Linked DNA regions of Bombyx mori. The protein of the gene in region 1 interacts with the protein of each later gene in a pairwise test. Links are inferred from orthologs where the notes say so. Each region holds a gene or a part of one and is shown in the gene's direction. Other genes may lie near its edges.

Region 1 (4,457 bases):
GTTTTATTAAATAATTTAAATATTAATATCCATGGACAAACTTAGTGAAGAATGTTGTTAATTGACATTTCACAGATTCAATCCTGTATTAATACTAAAAGTTAATTAAGTATTATCAAAGTTATTGACATAGCACAGTGGATTACTAGCTGAAGTGGAAATGGGCTGGCCATGTTAGCCGGAGAGTAGAAAACCGTTGGGATAAGAGTGTTCTTAAATTGAGACCTTGAATTGGTAAATATAGTGCAGGACGTCCTCAGGCTCAGTGGAGTGACGATCTATGCAGGGTGGCTGGTATGAGCTGGATGGGAGAAGCAGAGGATCAAGCTCAGTGGCGTACAATTGGAGAGGTCCAGCAATGTACTATAGGCTTACGATGATGAATCGGGTATAAAAGTTGGAACAGCACGCAGATCAGAAGAAGAGTTAAAAAGAACAGGATAATTGTTCAATTCCCTTCCTAATAATGGTAATGAGGATATGGGCATAGGTTAAATACGGTATTTAAGTTATTAACAGAAAAATAATGTATAAGACCTTAGACCTTATCTTTGTCTTTATATCCGGTTGGACACCAATGATAGGGTAGCTTAGGTACTAAAGAAATATAGTTTCAAAACTGTACGTGAACTTGATCGATATTTTAGATCAACGATAAAACTGTGGTACTGACGTCGCTTCTAGACGTGTGTGTGAATTTTCAAATTATTTGGACGTCTTTAAGTCTGTTAAAATTACGTTAAAATATTCCATTCCATATATGCAGGACGAACTAATGATAGGGCGTTAGAAAAGAACTTACTTATTAAGACCTATTACGTCCTAATATCTACAGTTTGATTATTTTTTTGTTGAAAACAAGAATAGTTACCTTGTCCCAATCTCAAGACGGCTAGTATCGTGAATGTCAGAATTAAGTTCCCGATAGCCAATACGAATAAAAGACAAACGAGAGTCCAAAATGCGAAGGTTTTCCTCCCTCTGTGTACGGTTTCCGTGACATCGTTCCCGTTCCTGTCCGAATAATTTTTAATATTACTTTTGAGTAACGTATGCGTTGGAGTTTTTGTTATCAGAGCCTTTTCAGCTCGGTTTCTCTCTAACGTGCTCTCGGACATGGTCTCTGAGGACGAAGATACTCCGCGGAGGCCAACCGACATAACGCACTAATGTTTACGCACGTATTTCAATGGGAAACCATTAAATTAAAAATAGATTTTTTTAGAAGGATGCGACAACAAAATATTGAGCGAGAAGCATCGCCTTTTATTGGTTAAGCCTATTTCAGACTAAATCCAATTGACCAATAAGGAGTGAGTCAATTTGATGTTGCCATATAAAAAATTTAAGAAGATGTGATCAAACTAATTGAGAAATATTTCTGAACGATTGGAAAACAGTGATGACAACATGACGCAGTGAATTATTGACAAATTTGACAATCTGCACTGTAATCATGGCGTCGGAGAGATACAGTTTTTCTCTCACAACATTTAGGTAAAAAAACTATATATTTACATGTTTTAAAAGTCTAATTAGCAATGGAACATAAAGTTCTGTGATAATTTTCAATGATGACTTAAGTTGCTTAATGTCTTAGCGTCTAATCTACTCTGTTTGATTCACACTAAAGTTGCGGTATGATTTTTGGTTAATGTTATCTCAATTGTTGTGTTTTTGCAGCCCCTCGGGCAAATTAGTGCAAATCGAATATGCTTTAGCTGCCGTAGCCGCCGGTGGTACTTCCGTCGGCATCAAAGGTTAGTAAATAAAAATTAAAGGTTATTATAATTCTAAACTAGAACTATAACTTCCTTTGTACTAATTACTGTGTATCATCACATAAAAAAACCGCAAATGTATATTTTTTCCCAGGATGACTCAGTATTTTTAAGAGTAAAAAGGATGTTTTCATATTTGCAGCGTCAAATGGCGTCGTGATTGCCACAGAGAACAAACACAAGAGCATACTGTATGATGAACACAGTGTCAACAAAGTCGAGATGATAACTGGCCACATTGGTGAGTTGAGTCTCCTTTTTGTCCCTACTTATTTGCTGATAGCCTAGGAGGCCATTCCAGTTACGCCTAAACAGGTAGGTGAGCTAACGGGCTTAACGTAAGCGAATTTTCTAGCAGCGAAGCAGTAATGCGTTTCGGTTTGAAGGGTGGGGCAGCCCTTGTAACTATACTGGGCTCAGGTAACTACTTAACACCAGGTGGGCTCTGAGCTCATCCACCCATCTAAGATATAAAAAAAAAAACATCAGAAACATGTTAGTTAGTTTTAAATTTTAACATTAGTTACTTAATACTCCTATTCGTATAAGAGAACAAGTATTGTCTGCTTTTCTTACTCATCCTACATTGTGTGAACTTGACGCACATATCTTTTTTACCATTCAGGCTTATTATAAATTGTCATCTCGGCATTGATACCCATCTCATATCATCATTTACACAGTGCAGTACTATTTTCAGACTTCCACTTATATGGGATAAATTCTTCTTTCATCAACTGCTTTCCTATAAATGAACAATTATATTGGTTATAAAGAATTTATCTTGTATATATATGTCAAAGGAAGCAATGAATAGAGTTGATTCTTGTTTACATACAAAATGCATATATTATTATTTTTAGGTTGTAATTACTTTTATAATTCTTAATTTTATTTTATTTTGTTTGTTACATTTTCCTATAGCTTTAAAACCTTCTATAAAAATAAATTGTAATAAAAGGTGCCAAAATTGTAAATTCATGTAGGTAACAACCAATCAGAGCAGAGCATTTATCTTCCGCATGGTCAAGGTGCCATCTTTACTTTGGGAAGGCGTATATTGTCTGGTGACACATTTTGAGCAATAAAAACGTATCGAGTTGGATCGTTGGAGAGTTCAAGTGAGATTGGTGCAATTGCTGCTCGGTCTAAACTGTAATATTCTCCCACAATATTACCGTGGAATAACAAAATATTGTATAATCTAAATGAAACTAGTGATAAAACCAATCATAGTTATCATTTGTGTTTTATATCTGTCACTATCTGTCTCGGTCGCTCATGCAAACATGTCCGCTATCCATCTCTCTCATCATTTTGTCGTAAAATTAAGAACCTACCAAGAGCTTGTGTGAATAAAAAACATTTGAACTGAGTAAAATGGGTTAGTATCAGGTCACTCGGGGTTCTTATTTTTTTTAGTATGAAACTAACAAGTTTTGTACCATTTTACAATCCTGATTTAATGCGCGAACTTTTAATGGCACTTGCCAAGGCACTTTAGTACTTTTTTTTAAAGGAGGGCCTTTCAAAGTCGACAAATTTTGAAAATTTTAGATTCATAGTTTGACAAATAATCTTAATTCTAGAAAACTTGGGGTCAGTTGTGCTTTTATTTTTGACTGTGGTTCTAGAAATGTTATTTAGGGTTACGGTTCCAAAGTTTAAATGAACAAAAATAATAAAAATTAACCACAATAACCGAAAAATGGTTACAGTTTGACCAAATTTCTAGGTTTTCCTTAAATGGTCATAATTTCCAAACTGCATTGGATAGATTTTTTTTCTGATTTTTCTCATGATTGTTCCTGTCACCAGGTTTCGGCTTGACGTTGAGTTCTGGGACACCATGTTTATGGTTGTCAATACATATCCTAACCTTCTCGTCGAACCCGTCACTGAGTGACCTGACTTTCTCGCCGGATCTTCTCAGCGGGTCGTGTTTCAGACCCGGTGGTAGATTCTGCGAAGCGCTCCTTTTGTTAGGGTTAGTATTAGCAACGTCGTCAAGGTTTGAGCTTCGTGAGCTCACCTACTGGTTCGGTGAATCTAGAATAACTCCTCAAGGTTACTAGAGTATAGGAATGAAAAAAAAATCCTACTTAAGTTAGGATTTTTTTTTAAGCGGTAGGCAGCGGCTTGGCTCTGCCCCTGACATTGCTGAAGTCCATGGGCGACGGTAACCACTCACCATCAGGTGGGCAGTATGCCCGTCTACCTACAAAGGCAATAAAAAAAAAAAAACAATTTGTGACATGTCCGCTTGGTCAATATGAGGGAAAATGTCTATGGTATATATAAATATGAGCATAGCTTTAGCTTACTAGATACAAATTCGGGATACATTATTGGCTTGAATTAAGGAAACAGGTAACTAATTGACGTTGGTACAAGTAATCCTCTCCAGAAAAACCCTAACACACTAGCACTCAACAGTATAAAAAAATCATTAATATACCTTTTAAAGTAGAATAGTATCTTAATTTAAACTTTCCATATACCGAACAGAAACTTCATAGAGGTAATATTGTTGATCGCTACTGTACTATCATATTTTATAGATTTAATAGACCCTTTAGGAATGTTTGCACAACAAAACTTGTCGAAAAGCTTAAAACTGTACACATTACACTACAAAAAGTAATCATTTCTTGTTTATTACAGGCATGGTTTACT
Region 2 (3,826 bases), on another chromosome or scaffold:
CCCCCCGGAGGTCGTCGAGCAACTAGGTAACGACGCGACCTGCCCTCGGCCCTTTCTCATACACCGTTTTTAATATTCCTAATTAAGCCGATAGCCTATAGAGGCTATGTCAGCGTAACCTAACAAGTAGATGAGCTTACGGGGTTCAAACTTGACGAGCCCTAGCAAGAGCAGTGCTTCGCAGAATCTACCACCGGATCGGAAACGCGATCCACTGAGAAGATCCGGCGAGAAACCCAGTGGGTTGTGTCTGTGGGTTACTTTACGCGTGGAGTCCTTCGTCGCAAGCGACGGGTTCGACGGGAACGGTGACCGGAACTCATACATCGACTACGTTTTAGCATAATATGTTATTTTTCTAGCTGGCTTTAAGATGTAGATGATTAATTCACTAAAGCAATCACCTCTCTTCTAATAATCAATTAGATATCTATTAAGTAAAAGTCAGGCCTGAATGTTACCGTAAACATGTACATAATATATGTATATATGTTTTTTTTTTTTTTTATTGCTTAGATGGATGGACGAGCTCACAGCCCACCTGGTGTTAAGTGGTTACTGGAGCCCATAGACATCTACGACGTAAATGCGCCACCCACCTCGAGATATAAGTTCTAAAATCTCAGTATAGTTACATCGGCTACCCCACCCTTCGAACCGAAACGCATTACTGCTTCACGGCGGAAATAGGCAGGGTGGTGGTACCTACCCGTGCGGACTCACAAGAGGTCCTACCACCAGTAATTACGCAAATTATAATTTTGCGGGTTTGATTTTTATTACACGATGTTATTCCTTCACCGTGGAAGTCAATCGTGAACATTTGTTGAGTACGTATTTCATTAGAAAAATTGGTACCCGCCTGCGGGATTCGAACACCGGTGCATCGCTTCAACACGAATGTACCGGACGTCTTATCCGTTAGGCCGCGACGACTTCAAAAGTCGAGGGGTGTAACGCTATTTGGTTTAAGCGACATTTCGCTTGACACGCGATATTTATCTTTGTAATTAAATGTGCGTTTTGTTTGGTATTAGCATTAACAATTCGATGTGTTTAACTGAACTTCAATTACGTTTACCCTATTCAAATAGCCAAAGAAGTTTTTTTTTGTATTGATATTTGTTGATATAATACTAGACAAAATATTGACATTGAAACTGAAATATGTACATTGACATCTATATCTATATTGAAACATTTTGATTAGGCATATTGTGAGCATACTCTGCTCTAGTAATGATAACTTACTGAAAGCCACCAATTTGTTTTAAATTAATATAGTTTGTATAATTTTTATGATCCACTTCATTGATTATTTAAAAGCCGAAAATTTTACTAATCTATATAGACATTCTCACGGCGTACATACTCTCTTACGTATCTCAAGAAGATTGCATTGTAATAGGTACTGTTTCTATTTTTTCATTGCCCTTGTAGGCAGACGAGCATATGACCCACCTGATGGTGAGTTGTTGTCGTCGCCCATGGACTTCAATGTCAGGGGCAGAGCCAAGCTGTTCCTACCATAATTCTGTCTCACCCTTCAATATCGAATTCACCTTTCATCTTAAAGTATTCACAACGCGTTCACAAATACAATGTAATTTTATAAAGTTGTCGTGGCCCAAAGGATAAGACGTCCGGTGCATTCGTATCTAGCGATGCAACGGTGTTCGAATCCCGCTGGCGGGTACCAATTTTTGTAATGAAATACGTACTTAACGAAATGCTCACGATTGACTTCCACGGTGAAGGAATAACATCGTGTAATAAAAATCAAACCCGCAAAATTATAAATTGCGTAATTACTCTTGTGAGTCCGCGCGGGTAGGTACCACCGCCCGGCCTATTTTTGCCGTGAAGCAGTAATGCGTTTCGGTTTGAAGGGTGGGGCAGCCGTTGTAACTATACTGAGACCTTAGAACTTATATGTCAAGGTGGGTGGCGCATTTACGTTGTAGATGTCTATGGGCTCCAGTAACCATTTAACACCAGGTGGGCTGTGAGCTCGTCCATTCATCTAAGCAATAAAAAAAGAACTAATCCTAATTAATTTATTTAGGCTGCAAGCACGTGAAGGGAATCTTGCTCTACGGTCCGCCCGGCACCGGCAAGACTTTGATGGCCCGACAGATCGGGAAGATGCTAAACGCCCGCGAACCGAAGATCGTCAACGGCCCACAGATATTGGACAAATACGTTGGCGAGAGCGAGGCCAACATTCGACGTTTATTTGCCGACGCCGAGGAAGAAGAGAAGCGAGTGAGTTTCGGAAAATTAAACTACTTAGAATATGTTCTAAGCGGACGTGATGATTTCTCATACCTGATCCTGGTAATCGATGGTAAACAGTCGACGTCGCCCAAAACACGTCATTACGGATTAGCGGTGCTTTTAGGTACCTCAAGCACCGGTCACCGTCCTCGCTGAACCTGTCGCTTGCGACGAAGGGCTCGACGAGCGAATTAACCCATAGATACAGTCCACTGAGTTTCTCGACGGATCATCTCAGTGGGTCGCGTTTCCGATCCGGTAGTAGACTCTGCGAAGAACGGCTCTTGCTATGGTCAGTGTTAGCATCACTCCGGCTTGAGCCCCGTGAGCTCACCTACTAGTTAAGGTTACGCTGAAATAGCCTCCCAAGGCTATCAGCTTAGGTAGGAAAAAAAAGATGATTTTTCAATTTTATAGTAAAGCTTTTTGAAGGAATTATGATAGAGAAGAAAATATGGGTTTATAATTTTTTGTAGGCAGACGGGCATAGGGCCCACCTGATATGAGTAGTCACCGTCGTCCATGGACTTATGGAATTTCAGCAATGCCAGGGGCAGGGCTAAGCCGCTTCTGCTGTTCTTGCATTTAAAATACACTATAACTTCTTCTTCTTAGTCGAATACTTCATTGCTGAAGGTCGTGTCCTTGAAAGCCCTTCGTGGCTCTTTGTACCCTCAGCTTCCATTTGCTTCGGTTTTCGGCTTCTCTCAGGGCGCTCGCAACAGAGAGTCCAGTGAGCGCAGTTATCTAATCCGACCAACGGTATGGTGGCCGGCCGGCAGGTCTTTTCCCTTCTAGCTTGCCCACCACAATCAAGCTTTCAAGGTTGTCTGGTGGCCGCCGAGCAATATGACCAAAGTAACCAAGAACCTTCTGGTAGCAAATCGTCTCATTTCTATACGAACAGTCTCGTTTCTATACGAAGTTGCTCGAGGACAGATTTGTTTGTTCTCTTGGCGGTCCACGGCATGCTTTTTTTTATTTTTTTTATTGCTATTTATTGCTATTTATGCGGAGCATTCTTCGCCACTATTCGACACTATAACTATCGATCGTTAATAAAGCCATCGGTTTACAGTGCGGAGCGAACAGCGGGCTTCACATCATAATATTCGATGAAATCGACGCGATCTGCAAGGCCAGGGGCTCCGTCGGCGGCAACACCGGCGTCCACGACACCGTCGTCAATCAGCTCCTCTCCAAGATCGACGGTCGGTTCACATCTCTATACGTTTGCTTTCTGGTAACTTTAATTTAACGACCGTCTGCTGTACAACGGCAGTCTGGTGTAGTGTACAATGGTCACTATACAAGGGGGTCGCGGGTTCGAATCCCACCAAGGAAAGATATTTGTATGATAAATATAAAAACGTTTTTTCCAGGGTTATGGATGTATATTAAATATAATATGTATGTGTATAATAAAAATCTTTCATTTATTTCCGTTATCTGGTACCTGTAACACAAGTTCTTTACGAACTTAGCACGGGACCAGTTAACGTGGGGTGATTGTTAATAAATAATTTTTTATTAAAAAAAAAAAAAGTGG

What was found.
Region 2: the proteins of proteasome 25 kDa subunit (region 1) and vesicle-fusing ATPase 1 interact in binary tests that used the Caenorhabditis elegans proteins (3 or more experiments, as listed by UniProt). The link is inferred for Bombyx mori from reciprocal best matches to the Caenorhabditis elegans genes pas-2 and nsf-1.

The regions. Positions count from the first base shown.
Region 1 is NC_085130.1:10,804,357-10,808,813, reverse strand, and holds the start of proteasome 25 kDa subunit, read left to right. Parts: upstream 1-1,443; 5' UTR 1,444-1,456; coding exon 1,457-1,497; intron 1,498-1,683; coding exon 1,684-1,760; intron 1,761-1,923; coding exon 1,924-2,022; intron 2,023-4,445; coding exon 4,446-4,457. Other genes in the region: uncharacterized protein LOC101740923, read right to left, coding at 872-1,160. UniProt on the Caenorhabditis elegans protein: The proteasome is a multicatalytic proteinase complex which is characterized by its ability to cleave peptides with Arg, Phe, Tyr, Leu, and Glu adjacent to the leaving group at neutral or slightly basic pH.
Region 2 is NC_085128.1:5,781,004-5,784,829, reverse strand, and holds part of vesicle-fusing ATPase 1, read left to right. Parts: coding exon 1-26; intron 27-2,065; coding exon 2,066-2,265; intron 2,266-3,355; coding exon 3,356-3,488; intron 3,489-3,826. UniProt on the Caenorhabditis elegans protein: Required for vesicle-mediated transport. Catalyzes the fusion of transport vesicles within the Golgi cisternae. Is also required for transport from the endoplasmic reticulum to the Golgi stack.